Linked DNA regions of Drosophila melanogaster. The protein of the gene in region 2 purifies or fractionates together with the protein of the main gene of each other region. This does not show direct contact. Each region holds a gene or a part of one and is shown on either strand. Other genes may lie near its edges.

The links. The genes of interacting proteins can lie anywhere in the genome.
Region 1: the proteins of CG5973 (region 2) and CG1620 purify together in Drosophila melanogaster (affinity purification with mass spectrometry, with the first as the bait; one large-scale study listed by BioGRID). This does not show direct contact.

What each region holds. Positions count from the first base shown.
Region 1 is NT_033778.4:7,493,306-7,498,066, reverse strand, and holds CG1620 (uncharacterized protein), read left to right. Parts: upstream 1-1,600; 5' UTR 1,601-1,805; coding exon 1,806-2,541; intron 2,542-2,605; coding exon 2,606-3,201; coding exon of another isoform or gene 3,202-3,243; exon of another isoform or gene 3,244-3,269; coding exon 3,270-3,698; 3' UTR 3,699-4,261; downstream 4,262-4,761. Other genes in the region: dpa (disc proliferation abnormal), read left to right, coding at 1-160, 222-588, 658-1,110, 1,171-1,266.
Region 2 is NT_033779.5:7,435,618-7,440,507, forward strand, and holds the start of CG5973 (uncharacterized protein), read left to right. Parts: upstream 1-1,874; 5' UTR 1,875-2,171; intron 2,172-4,890.

The sequences.
Region 1 (4,761 bases), on a different chromosome or scaffold from region 2:
TGTTATGCGGTGATCCGGGTACTTCCAAGTCCCAGATGCTGCAGTACGTCTTCAACCTCGTGCCAAGATCACAGTACACCTCCGGTCGCGGTTCTTCGGCCGTCGGTTTGACTGCCTATGTGACCAAAGATCCGGAGACTCGCCAGCTGGTTCTGCAAACGTAAATCTAAAAGCTTGAATCAGATTCGAATTTAGGTTGTAATCTTATGGCTTGTTTTCAGAGGTGCACTGGTTTTGGCCGATAATGGAGTTTGCTGCATTGACGAGTTTGACAAGATGAACGACTCGACACGCAGTGTGCTGCACGAGGTGATGGAGCAGCAGACACTGAGTATTGCCAAGGCGGGAATCATCTGTCAGCTAAACGCGAGGACCTCGATTCTTGCTGCCGCCAATCCCGCCGAGTCTCAGTGGAATAAGCGCAAGAACATCATTGATAACGTCCAGCTTCCGCACACCCTGTTGTCCCGCTTCGACCTAATCTTTCTGGTCCTGGATCCCCAGGATGAGATCTTTGACAAGCGACTGGCCAGCCATTTGGTATCTTTGTACTATGTGACGCGTCATGAGGAGGAGGATACCATGTTTGTAAGTAGCTTGGATCAATTGTTGGTATTTCTCCGGAATATCTCTGTAACATATTCAATCAATTTTCAGGACATGAGCGTCCTGCGCGACTACATCGCCTATGCCCGCGAACATCTGTCGCCTACGTTGTCGGATGAAGCGCAACAACGACTCATTCAGGCCTACGTGGACATGCGAAAGGTGGGCGCCGGTCGTGGCCAGATCTCTGCTTACCCGCGCCAGCTGGAGAGTCTCATCCGACTGTCGGAGGCGCACGCCAAGGTGCGTCTCAGCAACCAGGTGGAATTGCTGGACGTGGAGGAGGCTTGGCGGCTTCATCGCGAGGCTCTCAAGCAGTCGGCCACGGATCCCCTGTCCGGCAAAATTGACGTGGGCATTCTCACCACCGGCTTATCAACAGCCGCTCGCAAAAAGCGCGCCGATCTGGTGGCAGCCATCAAGGAAAACCTCAAGAAGAAGGGCAAAGTTCTCACAGTTCCCTATCAGAAACTGTTTAGCGATATTAAGGAAGGATCCCAAATTGTAAGTGCTAATATAATATATTTATAATATAAAATCAATGTAAACGATAATTTATTGCAGATGATCACACGCGAGCAATTTGAAGATGCCCTGAAGGAGGTGCAAGATGAGGGCGCAATTGTTGTCATGGGAAAGAACACCATTCGTATTTGTTAATTTTATTACATTTATCTCATTCAAAACCAACCGCAAATTCATTCATTCCTATTTTTAAGCGCAACTACAAAAATGTTTTCAATAAAAAAATTTCAAATTATTCGTTTCTGTTTTATCAACTAATATGTAAAGAAAAATTGCACATAATTAAATTATTTGGAAAGTTTATATATTGCGGTAGAAAAATAATTGATTGATATTTGAATATAATTTTTTTATTTTTCGAGCAGCTTATAATGTAAAATATATGGACATGTCAACGTGGAAAATGTTGTCAAGCTTGCTAAAATATTGATAAAGTGATTTATACATAAGAAGAGCACATATCACTTAAATTTGAAAAGGCAGAAAAACTGAATCTTAAAATTCGTGTAATTAAGCATTACTTTGGAAAGCCAAACAAAAACAAATTTCGAATATATAGGAGTACCCCAACTAAAAAAGGAATATCCCAGTTAGTGCCGTTTTTTAGCGCATTTGCGCAGGCGAAGTGCAGATATTTTGGCGCTCTGGCTGCTGCCACACTGTGTGTACGGAAAATGATGGAGTTCGGGAAATCGTCGGATCACTCCCAGCACAGCGCTTCCGAGGCGTCGGCGGACTCCGGCAGCCTGGCAAACAGCGATCTGGCCGTCACGCCCACCAAGCGGGAGCGCCGCAAGTCGCCGGCCACCAGTTCGGACAACAACAGCACCAGCGTCCAACCGCCAATGTCGCCGTCGTCCTCGGTGGCGGACACCACCTTTGAGCCCACCATCGACATGATGGTCAACGACTTTGACGACGAGGCCACGCTGAACGAGGAGGAGGCTCTGGCGGACATGGAGGCGCACAGTGCCGAGGACGAGATCGCCACGCTGCGCGAGGAGAGCGAGATGCCCATCGAGGAGCTGCTGGCCAAATATGGCGGGACAGCGGCTTCGCCGGCAATGAGCAGCTCGAACCGTTCCGGCAGCAGTTCACGACGTGCACGTAGGGCCACAAAGCGCCAGTACCAGGAACTGGACACGGAGATGGCTCACACGTCGACCTCCACTTCGAGCAGCACATCGCAACTGGAGAAACACGACGGCATAGACCAGGAGGAGGAACCCAAGGAGGAGGCCGATAAGCTAGCATCACCCCCAGAATCAGGAGAAGCTTCGTCCGTGGACACGGAGGATGCGCAAAAGTATGAGGGGATCAAGAAGCAGCATCGCTCACATTTGCTGGACCTGTATCCAGATGAATCCTTCGTCGATCTGGCGCCCACATGCGGAGAGGAGACGGAAAGATGTAGGTTTAAAAATAAAACGTGACAGAATCTAATTATCACTTCCATTATGTAACACTTTTATAGTCACTCCACTGCAAACACTGTTCGATGAAGTGGAGGCCGAGGAGGAGGAGGAAAGCGAATCCGAGTTGGACGATGCTCGGAAGATAATAATGGTGGGTCACGACTATCAGGCTGAGATCCCAGAGGGGCTGTCGCAATATGGCGATATATTGCCATATGAGAACGAGGATCAGTTGATCTGGGAGCCCAGCCAAGTCAGCGAGCGCGAGGTGGAGGAATATCTGGCCAAGATACAGGAAACCCGATCGATAGTTCCGCCGGATGACGGGTCAGAGACTACGGCGGGCGAGGAAGGCGCAGCTACAGGTGCTACTATCGAACCGCCGGCTCCCATTACAGCTCCAGCCACGCCTCCGAGGGCTCCGCTTGCGACAAGTGGCGCTGGCGATCAGGAGCTGGTGGTAAAGGATAATGAGCAGGCGCTCCATCTGCTTGTCCAGTGCGGTTACGACTTCAAAGAAGCCCTACGACGCAAGCGCATGAACGTCCTGCCTCTCACTGATACCATGAGCAGCTGGTCCGAGGACGAGTGCCTAAAGTTCGAGGAGGGCATTCAGCGGTTTGGCAAGGACTTCTATCAGATACGTCAAAACCAGGTAAAGGAGCGTCCATTGCCTGCGGACCGCCCTAGCAAGTAATCTATGGGCTCGTTGGGCTCTTTCAGGTGCGCACTAGAACCATGCGCGAGCTGGTCCATTTCTACTATCTGTGGAAGAAGAGTGAGCGCCGGGATCAGAGCTTTGCTTTAAACGACACCATCGATCACATGGATGTTTTCATCAACGAGGCGGGCGGTGGCAACGGAAGTGGTAATGGAAATGGTGCCGGGATCGTATCGGGCACCGCTAACAGTAATGGTAGCTGCTCACCGCATAGCAGCAATGGTCACAGCAATGGGGATTTGTCTGCCCTGGAGAAGGATACCATCGCCAGTCCTCGAAAACCCGCCTCTAAGAGCTATTCTATTATGACCGGGAGTCAGGCGGTAGGTAATCCTTCCGGGGGGAACCGAAAGCGATGCTCATCCGCATCTCTGCCCCTGGAGGACGAGGACAACAACGTCGAGGAAGAACCCAGCCTGTCCACAGTGTAAACGACATCTCTATCACAATCACCATCATCATTATCATAACCGAGCGCAGGCGCTTTCGATTCGGTTGGGCCAGGCGATGTATTTGCAGGGCGCTTCATTACCATTACCACTCACTATAAATATGCATACTGTACGTGTAGTATATACCATATGTCTAAACATATATATTCCAGATTCTTAAATCGACATCTCTCATAACCCGTAAAGAATTTCTCTATTGTTAAGTGTGCGATTCGTCTATTTGTTACATGTGCGTGTGGATTCCGGAACCAAGTACTTATCGCTTATATATACAATATATTTTCGCTCAATCCTTGAGTTTCGTTGAATGTCAATAAATGTAATATGTATATCTGTAAAGTCAATTCTATTGTTTTGTCGATATTTGACCAAATGTTTTAAAACCTCCAATAATTTAATGAATTTCAATTCTCAATTTACGAAAGTAATGTATGATCAGAAAAGATAAATATATATGTACATCGAAAGCTTTGTAGACTCACAGGTAAGATTCGCTACAAATCAGATACTAATATTACATAAAAGTACATCTTAGATATCTTAGATGAGCATGATTTATTTTATTTGGTTCAAAACAAAGTATGCATCATATTATTAATTTATTCGGCCTAGTATTTTCCCCTTTAAAAGCCTTTGTTTACATATAGAAGAAACAATATTTAAACGAAAATTAACCAAATTTTATCAAATATGCATTAGTTTAATCGCTACTTAAAAGACAAGCTGACGGATTTCAAATAACCATCTTAACGAAAGATCAATCGTACTCCGTATTCCCTAAAAGTTAACCGGATCGGAAACAAAGAACCGGTCCGTATAAATATACATACATATCTCGTATACATAGATACTTAGGTATGTCTGTATCTTTTCCCCAGTTTTCTTTGCAAGGCGTTCTTGAAAATGGCCAATTACGGTGTTGGATTCCCATTTATTGGCCGCATGTCTGTCCACGTACATTGTGCATACGAATGTGTGTGTGTGTTTTTCGCACTGTGGGTAGAAAGACGAGTATAAATTGCGGCGAGGATCAAATGTCAGG
Region 2 (4,890 bases):
AGTCACAATCCAAGACTTTAATCTTTGAGATTCATTGATAGGGATTGCTAATCGCGATAACTAATAATGCGTAAGCCATGGCATCCGTCGATAACTGAAAGTCCCCAGCGGAGAACACTTAATACCTTAGGCGATAAGTTTAAGATAATGTATACCTATACCTTTTGACACATGTTTTTAAATAATGTTTAATTTGAACTTTAAACATCTGAAGAAAATCAGCTAGCCTAACAGGTGAGCTTGCAGTTGTTCACCAGATACATACGTTTAATTATTGCAAAACCATCTGCTCAAAGTGCAATAATTTAATAGAGCATACGATTGATCGATGTCTTACCCGAACTCATATTCTGAACCGGACGAAGTTTACCAATCAGGCATATGTCGAGCTGATTCCCCAGTTCGACTTTGATCCTCCAGTAAAAGCTGACGTCGGAAGTGCTACAACGACAATGTGCAACTAAAGCCAACAAATGTGTGTCATCTGTGATGAAATATTGGCATTGAGAAAATATTTACGAGGGAAAACCATAGATGAATAATCTCGAAGGTGTATTTAGAAATGGTTATAGCAATTTTGGGTAAAATAATATAGCCATTCTCCAGTATTTAGATTTATGAGCATTTTTAAATATTTTGGCTGGACGATAGACAAGGTTGTAGAAATTCTACCTATGTTGGAAGAGTTTGGTTTTATAGCTATCTGGATAGGCTAGTTACAGTGCGAGTTTTTGCGTATACGTAATTTGCGTATACGTAATTTGCTGCGTATACTTAATTTTTAAGTATCCATCATTGAATAGAATACACTGCACGCGGGTCTTAATTTACATTGTCGGAAGTAGATTTTACGTATTCATAAATGTTCCTGCGCTCATATCTTCATGGCTTGCCTTGTTTATATAACCATGTTAAGTAATTAATCAACAAGCTATTTGGCTCTCAATACGTGGTCATTATCTTTATGTCAAACCGTTTTTTTCCCCACATACTGCCATAATTTAGATAACTCAACCTGCGAAAAATGTTTAATTTATCAGCCACAAGAGGTAGCGATGATATAACGAAAGTGGTGTTTGGCTAAAAAAGAAAACTGCAAGCATGGCCAAATGAAACAAAAAGAATTGACCAAGAACAAATGCTATGAACTTCACCCGGTGGCCATGAATTTGGCTAAAGAAAGTTGAGTATTTCAGCTACGAGTGCTGCCATCAGCAAAATGTGAAGCACTCAAAGAGGTAAAAATAATTGCAATTATTCAAGCGTGGTTAACGCTCGCCCCCAGGGGTTCCACCTTGGCTAATTGATAGATTGGCACGATCTGATATTAGCTGATAAAAACATGTTTACTATTTCAAAGTCAACAAGTGGGAGCTTAAAAAAGTGTTGAGGTTCGGTTCCTTGCTTGAACCAGTTGGGCTGTAAGCTATCAGCCAGTGTTAAAAAGTATCGAAAGGGATTAATGGAAATCCATATGAAGGTTTCTACATTTTAATTACTTTTTATATTATTTGGCTTAAAATATAAAACGAAAATAAGTAAAATATTTTTAATTTGATTGTAACATCATTTGTTTTATATTATAGATAGCATAAGTAATAGACTCTTTGTCTTATTAAATACATACATTTTGTACGTCCTGCAGAATGTTTTGTTTTACGTTCTACAAAAGGCAGTTACATCTTTGAAAAGCTTTCCGCTTTAAAATCTTGTGGTGCTCTTGAAAAAGCTCTAGCAGTGCTGGAAAATGCTCTCCAAGAGACAGCTTTCATTCCGCTCTCTCATTTTGTTTAGCATTCGCCGTAGCCGTTTTATTGTCAAGCTTGAGTTGGCCAGTTAATTAATAACAAGAGCTCGAGAGCGGTTTTCAATCTCAGAGTTGTTTTGACCGCGTTGCCATTTGGACGTCGCCGCATTTAACGCATTTGTTCCGCCAATATTCGCACCTTATATTGCGCGTCCTGTCCGCATAGGAAAATCGAAAATCAACCCCCCAGCAACTCCACCTCCTCCGCCTCTTCCGCTGCCTTTTTTGGCCAATTGCAAAAGTTTGCCAACAGTGAAACGTGAAATCTTTGAATTTACCTTTGCAAAAAAAAAAAAAAACGAAAACGAAAAAATTGAATATCTCCGTGCCGTTCGAGGCGTGTAATTTTGTGTGTATTTTTGCGGTAAGTTGCGTTAACAACATTATGCTCCATAGAAAGCACATTTTGGCCATTGTGCTCGTAGATTTTACTTCACTCTTGCCTTTGGGCAATGCGCATGCGCAGCGCCGTTGACACACTTTCTGCCCCCACCGCACCTGGTTTACCCGGCCAGCGTGCCACAAGCAACTTATGGCTCTCTGGCTTTTGGCCATAAAAACAATTACCACTTGGCTGCATTTCGTCAGCGCGTGCGTCTCGATACCAAACAGCCCCGCCCTCCCGATGGTCATCTATATATCCCAGACCATATTACCATTCATAATCTCCGCAAGCTCACCACTTTGGCACTTCGATCTTCGGTAGCTGATAATATTTGTGTGGCTAAGTAAAGTGGGAATTGCCTAAGGCAGATGGGCGGGTGGTTGGCATATTACACCATTTGAGTGTGTGAAAATGTGTGGTTCCAAATTATTTAAGAGCTGTTTCGCTGTGGCAAGTGAAGTCGTTTTGAATGGCGCACAATAATGGAAAAAAAGTGTTACTTTGTAGTGCTTTTGCTGAGCATTTTGTTGCAGCGTCGTTACAGTGTGGTAATTTGAAACTATTTTAATTGTGCATAGTTGAACTTAATGAAGCGTTTGAGATAACTTGTAACGGTATGCACAGTGCTATATTTGAAATTATAAGCTATAATTGTTTGTTAGTTTTCTTGCTTGTTCATTTAAAATAGAGAACGCTGAGAAATATTTTTATGCAGGAATATTGTACTTAAGCTGAGATAAAATTTAAAAATAATTTATTTAATTTAGTTTCTTCAAAGTATTCTGTTCTTCGCATTAAGATAATTTGAAGGCTAACTACACACTTTTCAAAGCCGTCCTTTATAGCGTGGTTATACTGTCACCTTCATAATGCATGCAAATGTAACACAATTGAAATGCAAATTGATGGTACTGATGTCCCTTTCGCACCCAGCATTAGTGACAATTTTCTGTCTCGCTCCAACTGGCTTCAATTTCTGTTTATTCAAGGGATCGATGGTCGTAGTTTATAAATATTTCAGACCCCAATCAGCCGATTCAGTGGGCAATGAAAACATTTGCTCTATTGACACTAAAACATTGACAGAGTTTATAATGATTTGCCCGTATTAACATCGCGATTTGGGCATTTTATTTAGATCTCATATTTGACTATTGCAAACTCCGCTTAATTCTCTATATACACATATAACAAGCGACCTTGTGGGTTCTCAGCCGCCGAAAAAATAAGTGAACTCAAAACCAGTTAAACATCTTACGGCCGATCGTGTTGTGTGTGGGCATGAAATTTACCCAAATTGTTAACATTTTGTCAAATGAAGGATACCATACCATAGACTTGCGAAAATATACAATAAGCCGTTATTGAATCTGAAAATTTACATATCTCTGAATACTACTCTATCGACTTCGTACTTGGAACCGAAGGCGATTTTTTATAGCCACGTTCGTACGATCGAGTCTGTTAATTTTGGCATTGTGAAAGAAATCGAAACCGGCTATTCCTGCTCCTCGAGAATCATTCGAGTCGAGTATTTATTTATCTTTTGAGCAGTCGGTTCAGTGAATGAGCCAAGTAATGCAGGTGCTGAATCGTAGTGTCATTTGCCTACTGTTGTTGGCCCAGATCATGTTGTTGCAAGAGTTTATAGTAGAACTGTATGAACAAACTGTTTCTTTAGTAACGACCTAACATGTTCAGTTGTTCTATAAAAATCTATAAAAATACCATTATTATATTGCAGTAGTAATTTAAGCATGCACGTGCTTTTAATTTGCCTTAAGTAACATTCTTACATCTTAAGTTGTTCTATAAAAAAAACCATTAAATAGTTAAAGTCGCCATCGTTAGGGTTGTTGAAAGTTCAAAAGTCATTTGATACCCTAAACAGGTTATTCTGGATATTTCCTAGCTTGCGGATAATTGAGACCGATTTGCATTTAATGCCTTGATCGCTTTCATTGATTGGCTTATAACCGTCTAATTACTATGGAATCACACATGTTTATATCATTACATTAAAAAACGAAGTCCTCCACTTAGCCAAATAGATTGATATGCAAGGCACGAGAAATGCATTAGACTTTTGATCAGAGCTGACATTGTACTATATATACCGTATTCACCAACTGGATTGACCCATTTAAAAATCAGGGGCGCGACTAAGCCGATAGCAAAGTGGGCTGTAATTTATTAGCTGGATCATTTAGTTTATAGCCGAGGTGTTTTAGTTTTAATAAACTCTCTATTAAAGCTAAGATTTTGATTGATTAATGGTGCAGTTAAGCCAGTGTACATATACTTTTCAATCGATTAAGTATAGTTGTTTGTAGACACAATTTAATTAAAGAGTCGAATTAAAAGATTGTTTTTGCGATATAAAACTAACATTATTTTTTATATGCTTTTGGCATGTTCATGTCTTATCGCTTTCACGTTTTGTAAAAAACGATAAACAATTGTAGTTGAATCTGTCATGAAAACAAAATCTACAGCGGAATTGTTAGATAAACTTCCCAAGGGTATTTATAACTTCGAATTTTCTATATCTATTTGGCTTTGCATTTTGCTTCGTCATTTGTGGCGCTGCAAAATGGTAAAATGCATAAGGAAAAACAGCAATTTGCATCAAATAGCCGGCTAGTTGATGGTATTGATCATTTTTCATATGACTTGTTTATTTATGCATATCATGTTG